2 linked regions of the Neodiprion lecontei genome follow. The protein of the gene in region 1 interacts with the protein of each later gene in a biochemical or structural test. Links are inferred from orthologs where the notes say so. Each region holds a gene or a part of one and is shown in the gene's direction. Other genes may lie near its edges.

Region 1 (6,665 bases):
GAGTAGGTAGAACAGCATAAACGTTCTCCTGAACCAATCCAGCAGTCATTGAGGCTGCACCAGATGCTGTCGACCAACCAAATTGCTTCCAAATTATTGACAGTACTTTATCACATCCTGTGTAAAGGGCCCAAGCATTAGCTGCCCAGTAAGCGTGGACTAAGCCCCTTTTGAACGGAAACAATCTTGTTATTACCTGAATAAAGTTAAACACGATATTTATTTGTACTGAAAGCTTTATTTTGTCGTGTTGTACTTCTGTATGTTGGGTTCTGTCAAAGAATTCTAAATTTAGAAATGATTGAGCTCTACGAGGGTATAGAAGTATGTATATTTTTCGAAATTTTTTACCTGTGGTAATTGACTTATGAATGGCCCAAAGGACAATGTTGTAGTTAGAATAACGATACTTCCAAGTATTAAAATTCTAACTAGACATTGTCTATTTTTGAAACAGTACATTCTCAGCAACCACACAATGAATGCTGGAGCTACATATACGTATATGTGTTTTAAATTGAGGAGAACAGTAAACCAGAATGCTCCCTGAAGAACCTGGCTCTGAAAAGTAGTGTATTTTAGTAACAATAACCTCTGTCAATAACTTGTATAACATTGCAAACGATTAATCAATTCAGAAGGTAGCTGCAAATACCACAGTCAAAGATAGAACAGTACTGACGATAATTTACCTCCTTCGAAATCCTGGTAACTTTGGACAAAGACAACATAAGTACACCGAGCAGAAATCCATTGTACTGGAAATGAATGTGATCAACGATCAGTAGTCCAACGTTGCACAAAGTTAAAACTATCAACGTGGCAAAGCTTTTTTCATCCTGGTGAAGCGTTTGGCTTAGTCTGAGATTTAAAAAGAACATTTCTTCACATTAAAGGAGAATTTTGCCACAATTTAGTCGGCGTTTACATGTCATCTAAAAGCTCGTGTCCATGACATTTGTTGAACTGTTACAAAATTCATCTTAATAAACTTACTCTTTAACACCATATGCATATACAAAGTCCGTAACAATGACAGTCGAACGTTGAAATATTTTTGTTGCCACAGACGCATACCCAAGATTGTTCACATTCAGCATTTTCGGATCAACAGACTTCGCAAAATTACTGAGAAAGTATTCGAACCAGGCAAAAAAAGGCGGGTAGTCCAAGGTCCACTCGGATTTTGCATTGACATACCATTCTTTAATCGGCAAGCTGTGAGTTATTGCAAGCCAATTTCGGTGCACTTCAAAGTCCGTCGAGTGACTAAAGCGTACAATTGTTGAATAATGAGATGTCCATAAAGAAAAAAATAGCAAGAGGGAATGTACTTACTATGTGGGAGATAGAAGAAGTTTGACACATGCTATCAAGGCGCAGAGAAACCAAAAGGACCGACTTGATCTGTTAGAAGGATCTTCCACTGCTGCCGTATTTTCCTTTGCCTCTTTTTCCGAAGGTTCGACAGTTTTTACAGATTCTTCGTTCTTTTTCCGCGACGACATTCTGATACGGAGCGGACGTCGAACCGTCGTCCTCGGCGAATATCATATCAATGATCGATATTTGTGCGCTTTCAAATTTTCAGGTTATCCTAAACACCCGACGTGTTCCAACCATAGACTGTTCCAACGCTGTGCCGGGCCGGTAGAAACCACGGTCGAAACTCATCACATCTTTCTCTATCTCTCTCCCTCTGCGCGCCGATTGGTTCAGGAAGCACCGTCAGCCAATCACAGCGCAGAGCGAAAACTATAGTGTACTCCAATTGCCTTCAGCCTTCATCCATCGCGCATACGAACATTGGAATGTGGTAAGGTGGCGACGCCATCTCTCGGTTGCTTTGGCGGATATTTAACAACGAAAGCAGGCGGAACCTTGATATTTGTTGGTACATAGGCACACATAGGCATCGGTGACGACTGTCACGCACAGTCGCAAATGTATTACATGTAAATACATACCTATAGCCACACGCTTCGCAGGGCTTCTGTAGAAGCACGTATCGGGACCGAAGTCCGAATTACAGTTTGCAAGTTTCGCGTTCTAATATACGATACACCCCAAATTCATGAACATATTCTAAGTGCTCTATAATGTAATCAAGTGTTAACGCAGTTTCGATATTATACCTTTTCAACAATACAACGAACGCTGTGTAATTGCGGCATTGTATACTATACAATAAACCTATACGTCACTGACAGTTCGAGAAGGATGATACAGAACATGGGAGTTGTGAAATTTGATATTTTCTCTGGGAGTTCCGATGAACTAACTCAAAATTTGAGTCAATTCATTGCTGAGGTAAATTATAAAATAATTTCGCCCAGGCGAGGTTATCTTAACAGCTCTTTGGCAGCCTGTCCTACAGGTGTCGTAGCTCTTTAATTTTTTTTTCGCTAACTCAATTACTAATTGTCGATTAGATTGAATTTGTTCATTCGTTATGTCCAAACTCTTCAACAATCCTTTATTACAAAAAAGAATACTGTTTCTACTGAATATTTCAACAAGTACCTTCATACCTCGTTCTAATAAATTTGAATTATTAAACTCAACAACCACACCTATTTGCTTCTTGTCGATCATTTTGCCAGTTGCTAAAAATATAGAATTATTTTGATTATTTATTACAGCATGAAACACAGAGGAATTTTACCGAGCTTAATGAAAATAATCTGAGAAACAGAATTTGGACACAGTTATTCGATACCCTCAATAACGAGGAGTATAAATCTACACATCAATTGTGTCTAAGTGCACTCAGATTACTCAGGTTTAACTCTATTCCTGTTATAAACCAAGTAATGTATTTAAAATTCTTCTTATCGGGATATACCAAGTAACATTCATTTATTCGCAGCCGAGATAAAACTGACATTGATGAGTTGGTGACAGAATCAAGAATAGCAACTCTATTAAGATTTGCCTACTTAGACAATAACCTTGACAATGAAAATGTTGCTTCCAATTCTGAAAGTGAGTATCACTCCGTTACCTTAGCTAATTTGAGTAAAGACCTAAAATTTGTCAAGTAACATTATATTTGCAGAAAATAAATTTATGCCCTAAGTCAAAGTGTAGATTAATATGCTATTATTTTGTTGTTTCAGCTGTCGTGGAAACTTTAAAAGTGCTATGTAATTTGATATACAACAGTCAACAGGCAAGGACCCTTGTGATACAAACATCATCTTGCCTCTCCCAAACAGTTCAACGATTGAGCAAGCAAAGAAGCGAACTGACACACGAAGGCAGACTGTTTCACCTTAGACTACTTTTTTTAGTTACCGCTCTATGTATACATACTAGAAGTAAAGTTAAAACTGAATTGAACGCAGAAGTCCATCTTATTGAGATGCTGGAAGAAACTTCTGAGCAGCTTAGAAATAGGCCACAATCTGTTCTCAAGGTATTGATCCTAGCTGGAAATTTAGTCGTGAATTTGTATTTAAATACAACTCAGATTTTTAATTCCTCACTTCATTTAACAGGTCAATGATCATGCTATTGCGTGTGAAGTTTTGAAAGTTTTATTCAACCTTTACATACGAGCCGAAGATGAACAGATGGAAGAGGAAAAGAATGAAAAATTAGTATCTATTTTGTACGAGCTACTGATATGCGAAACTATTGAAAATCAGGATGAACTCATATCGTGAGTTATTACAATTTACTATAAATAGAGATAAATTTTCTTGTTGTTTTATGTATTTCTACACAATTGATTACAAAATAATAAACAATCCAATCATAGAAAGGTGGTGTCAATATACACTGGAACACTTTAACGTTTGGAATTTATTCAGTTAGACTGACACAGGTTTTTTGAGGTTTTTTGTACTTCCAACATTTGCTATACTTTGTAAAAAAAATTCAAGTTGGTTCCAATTGTATATTTCAGGCATGCTGTGAATTTGTTAACAGTAGTACCAATAAATTCGTATAGCACATTAATTCCACCCGTGCAGAGCGATAATGTGAAACTAGTCTATCACAACATGGATATGAGGGCAGTTTCTACGCTATTGAAATTTTTGAACAAACGTCTAGATTCTGAAATTGATCTGACAGAAAATATCTCACCAATTGCTACGGTTCTAATAAGACTCGCCAGAGCTCAACGGTTGGCTCGAAAGTACATTCGATTACAGGTACGAAATTACTTGAGTGATGAGAATACCTACGAAAAAAATTGAAAGAACACAAATTCTAATTATTGTTTAACTCAATTCTATAGATACTTCCACCATTGAAAGATGTTATGAAACGACCTGAGGAAGGTATAACGCTTAGAGCAAAGTTGTGTAAGCAATTAACTAATCCACAAACAGACCTTAGAGATTTAGTGGCAGAGCTGATTTTTATACTTTGCAAAGAAAGTGGTAAGCATATTTGCCAATTGTGTCACGTTGTTTAATTGAAGACGTTTACTTCTTTTATTACGTTCCAAAAAATAAAATAAGAAAAATAAAATTGGAAATCGAATAAATTACATTTACTACTTACATCAGTTGCTAGAATGGTAAAATACACGGGGTACGGAAATGCAGCTGGAATGTTCGCAAATAAAGGACTTCTCGGCGGTCGTCAACCAAAAACAAATTATTCATCCGAATCAGAGGACAGTGACACAGATGAATACATTAAATACAAGGAACAGTGAGTATATCAAAAGATAATGATATTCGACTGGCACTCAACATGTACCCAAGCAGAATGTATAACACTTCGATTTTTCTTACAGAATTAATCCAATAACTGGCTGTTACGAAAGTCCAAAGCCTAATCCTTTGGAAGGAATGAGTGAGGAACGAAAGGAATATGAGGCTGTTCAGCTTGCTAATCTAATGGATAAATTGACGAGGTACTGACAAATGAAGTTATTTTTCCATTTGAAGTAAAAGGGTGCTCCTCAAGTTATGTCCAATAGAATTATTCGATAACATTGAAGTCTTGTTTGGGACAATGGCAGTTTTGATTTTTAGACTATGCTTTACTGCAATAGCCCGAAAATTGAATTTATTGTTCTCTGGGCATATCTCGAGTGATGCAGTTCTTAAATACGATAACATAGAAATGACTCCCGTTGAAAAAATATTTTTATTTTTTAGGGAAGGAATTGTACAGCCATGTCGAATTGGAGAAGATGGCAAACCAAAGCCGATAGAACATGTTTTAGAGTTACAGAACGATTCTAAATAAGTCTCACAGATCAAAATTTACCTACATTCTCTATTACCTCTTTCTTGAAGTATAGAGTTCCCAGCCAATAAGATCGCATCGAGATCATACCATAATTATTACTTATTTATGCTTTGACCACTGCATATACGCTGTGTTAATTTATTTATTATCACTTTCCGTTTTGTTTTAATTGATCTAATTGCTCTGTAGTTTTCAAATAATATCCACTTAATTGAAGCGATATAAATGATTGTAGGTACTTATGCTTTAATTAAACGTTATTAAATGACGTACATAAGTATTCATTTACTCTGTACCATTCGCGTCATTTTATTTAATTTTTTTTTTTTTTGGAACTACCCAAGTTATATTTTTTTTTTTCACTTCGTACATTTTCAATGCCTTCTCTAAATGTTTTTAAATTACAATAATTTAGCTTGCATAGATATGCGTCATGAGCTGGTGTTGTAAAAGAAAGCAAGGCTAAGATTTCATTTCAGTTGGTCTATTTTCTTACATTTCAAGAATTCTACACTCCATGTATTGTATAAATCTGAATCAACCATGATTTGCTGAAAATCATTAGCTCGTGTGTAAAACAATTGTAGAAATGAATAGAGACCCACTTGGTTTGCTTACTTTATTGAAAAAGAACAAAGAACAACGTTACAAATTAAACAATTGGCAGGAAATAAAAAATATAACAGTTTCGAAAATCACATGAAATGTTAAACATTACAATTTTCTTTTTTTCTTGTAACTTGTGTTATGTGCTTTGTGAGCATCACAATATTATTATTGCATTGCAGCCTATGTGCACACAAGAATGTATGCCCCTACATATTTTAGAGAACTGCTTTAGTGATAGAGTAATTTGAAAATACCTTAATATAGAACAGTTTGTATATATTGGCAGTTAATGTCTAATCGAGTTGATATGATGAAAAAACCTACATACTGTCAACAAAGAATATTTTCTTTAAGGCTAACATTATCCATTCTATATTAAAATATTTCCATCTTAAAACATTTGATGAATATACAAGTAGCAAATGTTCCATATTTTTTACTTTATGTAATACGGTATGTAGATTAAAATATTATATTTTTTTGTAAAAGTGTATATAGATGTGTATACGTATAATACAATAAATTTTAATATTTCATATAAAAATGAAACTAAAATTTTGTAGGTACAAGGTAGAAAAAAGCTGATTTGCCTCAAAACATAAACGAGACCCCTGTTTCAGATAATTACGGACTAGCCTTAACAAACTTTGGAAGAATTAAAAAAAAAAAATCATAAACGAAATAGTAAATTAAAAAAACAAAAAAAAAAAAAACCTGAAAACCAAAGCATATTTCCTAAAAATAATAAATCAAGAGTAAACGACTAACATTTAATGAAATCAAATAAAATACTTTGAAAATCAATTTTTTAGTGACAAGGTATTTCAGTACCAAGGCTGAGT
Region 2 (5,286 bases), on another chromosome or scaffold:
AAATCATTCCATAAGTTGTTTCTTGGTTATAAAAATATAAGAAATTCACTGGAAACTGTTGGTACAAATGACGCAATTTCACGCACCGATTTGATTACGATGCCTAGGTGCAATTGAATAACATTCTGAGTGTCTGTATAATAAAACAGCGAAGCCGCAGCAGCAGCAGCAACAGTAGCACGGGACGGTTTGATTGTTGCGGTCGAGCAGATTGTATATTATAAAAGAAAAAGAAAACAAATTGATGCAGTTCCGAAATACATAATTAATTATCGTATATCGATCATCATTGATTGGATACAGTTTGACATTCGAACGTAACACTGAGCCTTCCCTTTAATACATATACTATATATAATATATAATATATATATATATATATATATATATATATATATACACACCTTATACGACATGTAGAGTTGGGCACTTTTAACATATTTCACAAATTTTTAAATGACCTATAACTATGTAATAATATCTATTGTACGATATGATAATACATTAAACTGAGTAATTGTAATAGACACTCGATGTAAATATGATATCAGGAATGTCATGTGTTGTTTGATAATAACCAAAATATATACATAGATACATAATAAATAATATATATATATAAATATTAATAATAAATATATATATATTATTTTCAATAAAGTACAGTGGAAAAAAGCGCATATATTGCAATAATATATACATATATATATATTCTATACATATACTGATTCGCCTATGCATACAAAAATTCATAAATATATTATACGTATACAGTACATGAGTCTGCGATAATCAAATTATTATGTAAAAACTATGAAACTCTGTTTCAATTATCTCCGCATCCGTAATTTCACATATTCACTGGCGTTACTTTAGGCTTGATAATTTTGTATTTCGTATTTTTCTATTTCTCTCTCTTATTTACCATCTACAATTCGAATTATACAGCCTTGATCAAACCGTGCAGCTTCCAATATTCTTTTCATTTTGAATCCAAACTTTACACATATACGATCTTTATACTGCAAGCGGTCGTTACTTTGATACGCCAACTATTATTTATTAGGCAATTGTATAAAAGATCTTGCTATTTATACTCACACACACACACACACACGTTGTACGTTACAAAAGTTCGGCGAGAAGAAGGAAGTGGAGGAAGAGGAGAAGGAGGAGGCGGAGGTGGAGGAGATTAAGTACGTTCGTGCAAAATAGCAAGTGTTGATCAAGGTCTGTCAGGCAGAATATCACATGCACGGCATACATGTAGAATTTTAATAGGTTGATACATTATTATATCGTGGCATAATTTTTACCCGTGTGTAAACGGAAATAAATGAATGAATAATTAAATTCAGGTTTTATTGAACTGTAAATTTGATCAGTTTACAACGAGATAAGTCGCAGGTTTTTCTTTTGTACATAACTAAGATTCGGGATCGTCGTTGCATTATTACACGTTCATTGAACGCAGTAAAAAGTTCTCGTATTCAGCCGCGAAAGAAATAAGAAATTTAAGTAATTAATGATAGAATAAAATAAGAAATACATCACGATGTCATGCCAAGAAGCGATAGTATACACACAAAAACAAACTATCACCGGATACTGTGGTGTACATACGTATATATATATATGTCTATATATTCACCGTTAAGACTGAATATTTGAATAATTCTCGACAATGAGTTTCAACTTTGTGAATGAATATTGGCATTTTGCCAAACGTGAATCGTTTCGTTCTACCACGTATATCCCTCACAGCAATTTAGGATTTGAGATGTATGCATACAGCCTCCATAATCAAGTTGCAAAAGAAGACAATTCGTGACACGTTTCGTTGAACAACGATATTTTTTATTGCGTTATTTAAAAATAACGCAAATTTTGTTTTCCTTCGAAGAAGCATACCAACTAATACTTTACTCGTCTGCCAAGACGGATATAATTTGAAAGCAAGCAATCAAAAGTCTTAAAAATTCCAGCAGTCAGCCTTCCCCCCGCCCCGTTTCAAATCTTCGCGTCCTATCTTTCCGGCAGTATTTCAGTACCGTAACTCTCGTCGTTACCGGCCGAGCGAAGTGGCGACCGTTGGTTCGGGCAAGCGACGCCAGATGTCGCCAGGCTGTAGTTTGAATCTCCAGCAAACAGGATCTCGGTCCTCTGCCTAGACGCGGGGCCCGTGGGCTGGTGCGTGGGATTGATCGGGCGGCCGGCTCGTCCCCAGCAGCGAGCGAAGGTTCGGGCGGGGCGAGAGGTCGCTGGCGTCGAGGTAGCTGCCAGTACGCGTCCAGCCTGCCGCTGTCAAAAGACGTTTTTCGATCGGTTTTAGAAAAATTTGTATCGCGTTCCCGCAGGGGGAGGAGAGCTAGAGTCACGACGAAGGCACAGCCCGGGCGTAGCTCGATTTCGCTGTTAGAAAGCGAAGAAGGCACCTAAGAAAGGTGGACGAATCGCGCGGGACGATATATAAACGGAAGAGTATTCGGGAGTGTTTATGCATCAATCAAACGGCGAAGAGGTGGCGGAGTAGATCCAGAGAGAATAGAGAGCCAGAGGGAGAAGTGATATCAACTCGTAGTTTTGGAAGAAAAATAGAAGTGACCGCGCGTCGCCGGTGAACGATTCAGAGTATATATATACATATAAAAAAAATAAAAATTTTTTTTTCAAAAAACGCGTAAGGAGAAACGGCAGAGCGTATACCCCCCGTTTGGATTGTGTAAAAAGTACCAACCCACCTCCTGAGAGACGGGGCTGTGCCGGGGCTTACGATTCTCAAATTATCGATCAAATACATAGTATCGGAAAATACAAGTGACCGGGAGTGCGCGAAAAAAAATCCCCAATAATTCTCTCGTCGCGATATCACGGTGATATAATTATCGGCAAAAAAAAAAAAAAAAAACGGTACAATACAAGCGAGAACGCATCGTTACGGGGATAATAATCGAAATTCAAAATCCATCATTCGAGAATAAAGCAGGGAGTTAACGACCCGCAAAGGCAGTGTGATACGATTAAAGGCAGAGGCAGCCAGGCGATCCGACGGAGTCGAAAGTCCAGGGTGTATGAATGTCCGAGTTCCGCGGTGCTGCAACGGCGCGGTTTAACCACCCTTGGACATAGGAAGCAGGAGACGTGCGAGGAGGAAGCCGTTTCATCGGTCTCCGAGTTCGCGGGGTGGCTTCGAAAGTAAGTGATGACGAAAAGGGTAGAGAGAGAGAGGGAAAGAGACAGAGGGAGAGAGCGAGAGAGAGAGAGAAAATGAAAATGAAAAAATAAGGGAAACAACCGCCGCCGACTCCCTAGGCTCGAATATGGCACTCCAATCAAACGCGGGCGGCGTTCCGCTCCTCGGACGGGGGAGAGAGGCGAGTCAATTGCTTTGCGGCCGCCGCTTCGCTGGTGGCGTGCGTAGGAGGGTGCGTGCAGTGCCACCGCCGCTGCTCGATCCCTCGCGATGTCGGCTTATCACCGTCTTTCCGTCCCCGCGTCTCGTTTCCCGTTCGCGCCCGCTCGGGACTCGGAGTCAATAGCTCGCAGGTACCTTCGATGTGCACGCCTTCACGTGCTCCGAGCAGACCCAGTGTGAATTTCGGGGCGATATTTCGGCGAACCAGTATTGTCGTTGAGCGAATGAAGCGCGAGGAGGATCGTCTGCTGTTGCTGTTCCGCTCGAAGCTAGCCGCGGTCGAACGTTCGAAATTCAAATTTGGAAACAAGTATTCGAAAAGCGTAGCGAATCGTAATCGTCGTTGAGCGAACGAAGCGCGAGAACGATCGTCTGCTGTTGACGTTTGGCTCGAAGCAAGCCGCGGTCGAACGTTCGAAATTCAAATTTGAAAATAACTATTCGAAGAGCATAGGTTGCATAGATCTGTAATACGATGCATAAGAACAGAGCATGCAGTTTATTGTGAAGATGTAGATGTCGCGCAACGCGGTTACATCCTCGTTAACAATTTTGTATTCGATCTGCGGATTCGCGCGAACAAGTAGAGGAAAACCGACAATGAAAGGACGTCGACGCGGCGCCGCGTAGTCGGTGCGTAATTATTTGCGGTAGATAGTAGATAGATACGGTGTAGATTAAAACGGGATTTTTACCGCGGTGCCCCGCTCTCGTCGTTCAGGACCGGGAACGAAACGGAGAATCGCTAGTTTGCTGGTTCGCTCTTCGCAGAGTTGCCGCTGCTTTTCACTGCTGTATCCATCGGCAGCCGGCGACCCCCACCAATGAAGCATGATGAATAAGTGCCTGCCGGAGAATCCGGAGATCGGGTCCGCCTCTGCGGCAGCTTTCGAGTTCGCTGCTACATACACGCTCATATTTCTTAAAATAAATACCCACCCCCGTGCGTACATGTCCGACACAAGTATGTATATACGTTTCGTACCGTTGTTGTACGCCGCCTCCGAGATTCAAATGTGTAATGAAGGAAAACCTCGGCGGTCGATTTTTTAACTTCGTGAAAAACGAATTGTTCCTCGTTCAAGCTGCTGCATGCCCGACGTTGCGTGTTCTTTCGACGACTTTTTTTTCCTGCTACTTTCGTCACGCCTTTCTTTTTACGTAGGTATATTAATTACAATAATAAGGCACGTTAGGGAGCACGAAAGAAAATTTAACTCGAGTTTGATTTCGATTAGAATCTCGTTATTATCGATTAGATTCCGTTCGAAATGGATTGTTTCATTCACGATTTATTCAAGAAGAAGCTGAAGCTAGCAGCCAGAGTTAAACTTTTTGGAAATGGAAAAATGCATTTTAGTTTCATCCTCTTAATTCTATAAAAGTATCGGAGGTTCAAGGTTTTTTCACGAAATTTTGACTATCGGTCTTCGCTACCTTATTCGAATGAACATTAGAACGTTTCGCTGTGGATTCTGGATGCTAGGGTTCATCCTCGTGAATTTAATGGCATGTGTGTTATCAACTGCGAGAATCGTATCTCGCGTTCTTACAAGAGAATCGCTGACGTTCGCGTAACGAGTCTTGAATAATTGTTAAGCGGTTAGAAAAAAACCAAAAGAAACGAAAGCAACGTACGAGGTAGATAAATTTCAAATGCACACATGTTACGTGCATGTATGTACAGTATTTAACGAAGCGGGGCAAGATACGTGTATAACGGTCTCTGAAGTCCGGAAATTTCGGGTCAAATTTAAATTAACGCATCTCTTCCGCAGCGATGTAGGTATATAATGCGGTATAATACGTGCGGTGAGGATTATACCTACGTACATATGTATATGTTATACGTAGTAAGATGGGAGTCGAAA

What was found.
Region 2: of the proteins of synembryn-A (region 1) and guanine nucleotide-binding protein G(o) subunit alpha, one has a biochemical effect on the other in vitro, tested with the Caenorhabditis elegans proteins (2 studies listed by BioGRID). The link is inferred for Neodiprion lecontei from reciprocal best matches to the Caenorhabditis elegans genes ric-8 and goa-1.

Annotation. Positions count from the first base shown.
Region 1 is NC_060265.1:6,195,190-6,201,854, forward strand, and holds synembryn-A, read left to right. Parts: upstream 1-1,924; 5' UTR 1,925-2,220; coding exon 2,221-2,310; intron 2,311-2,642; coding exon 2,643-2,782; intron 2,783-2,869; coding exon 2,870-2,985; intron 2,986-3,119; coding exon 3,120-3,418; intron 3,419-3,500; coding exon 3,501-3,664; intron 3,665-3,910; coding exon 3,911-4,160; intron 4,161-4,246; coding exon 4,247-4,391; intron 4,392-4,520; coding exon 4,521-4,668; intron 4,669-4,753; coding exon 4,754-4,873; intron 4,874-5,120; coding exon 5,121-5,211; 3' UTR 5,212-6,126; downstream 6,127-6,665. Other genes in the region: probable dolichyl pyrophosphate Glc1Man9GlcNAc2 alpha-1,3-glucosyltransferase, read right to left, coding at 1-196, 352-561, 693-861, 997-1,269, 1,339-1,508. UniProt on the Caenorhabditis elegans protein: Chaperone that specifically binds and folds some, but not all, nascent G alpha proteins prior to G protein heterotrimer formation, promoting their stability and activity.
Region 2 is NC_060260.1:39,891,633-39,896,918, reverse strand, and holds the start of guanine nucleotide-binding protein G(o) subunit alpha, read left to right. Parts: upstream 1-2,228; 5' UTR 2,229-3,195; intron 3,196-5,286. UniProt on the Caenorhabditis elegans protein: Guanine nucleotide-binding proteins (G proteins) are involved as modulators or transducers in various transmembrane signaling systems. In the 1-cell embryo, probably together with gpa-16, controls nuclear rotation and spindle elongation during mitosis.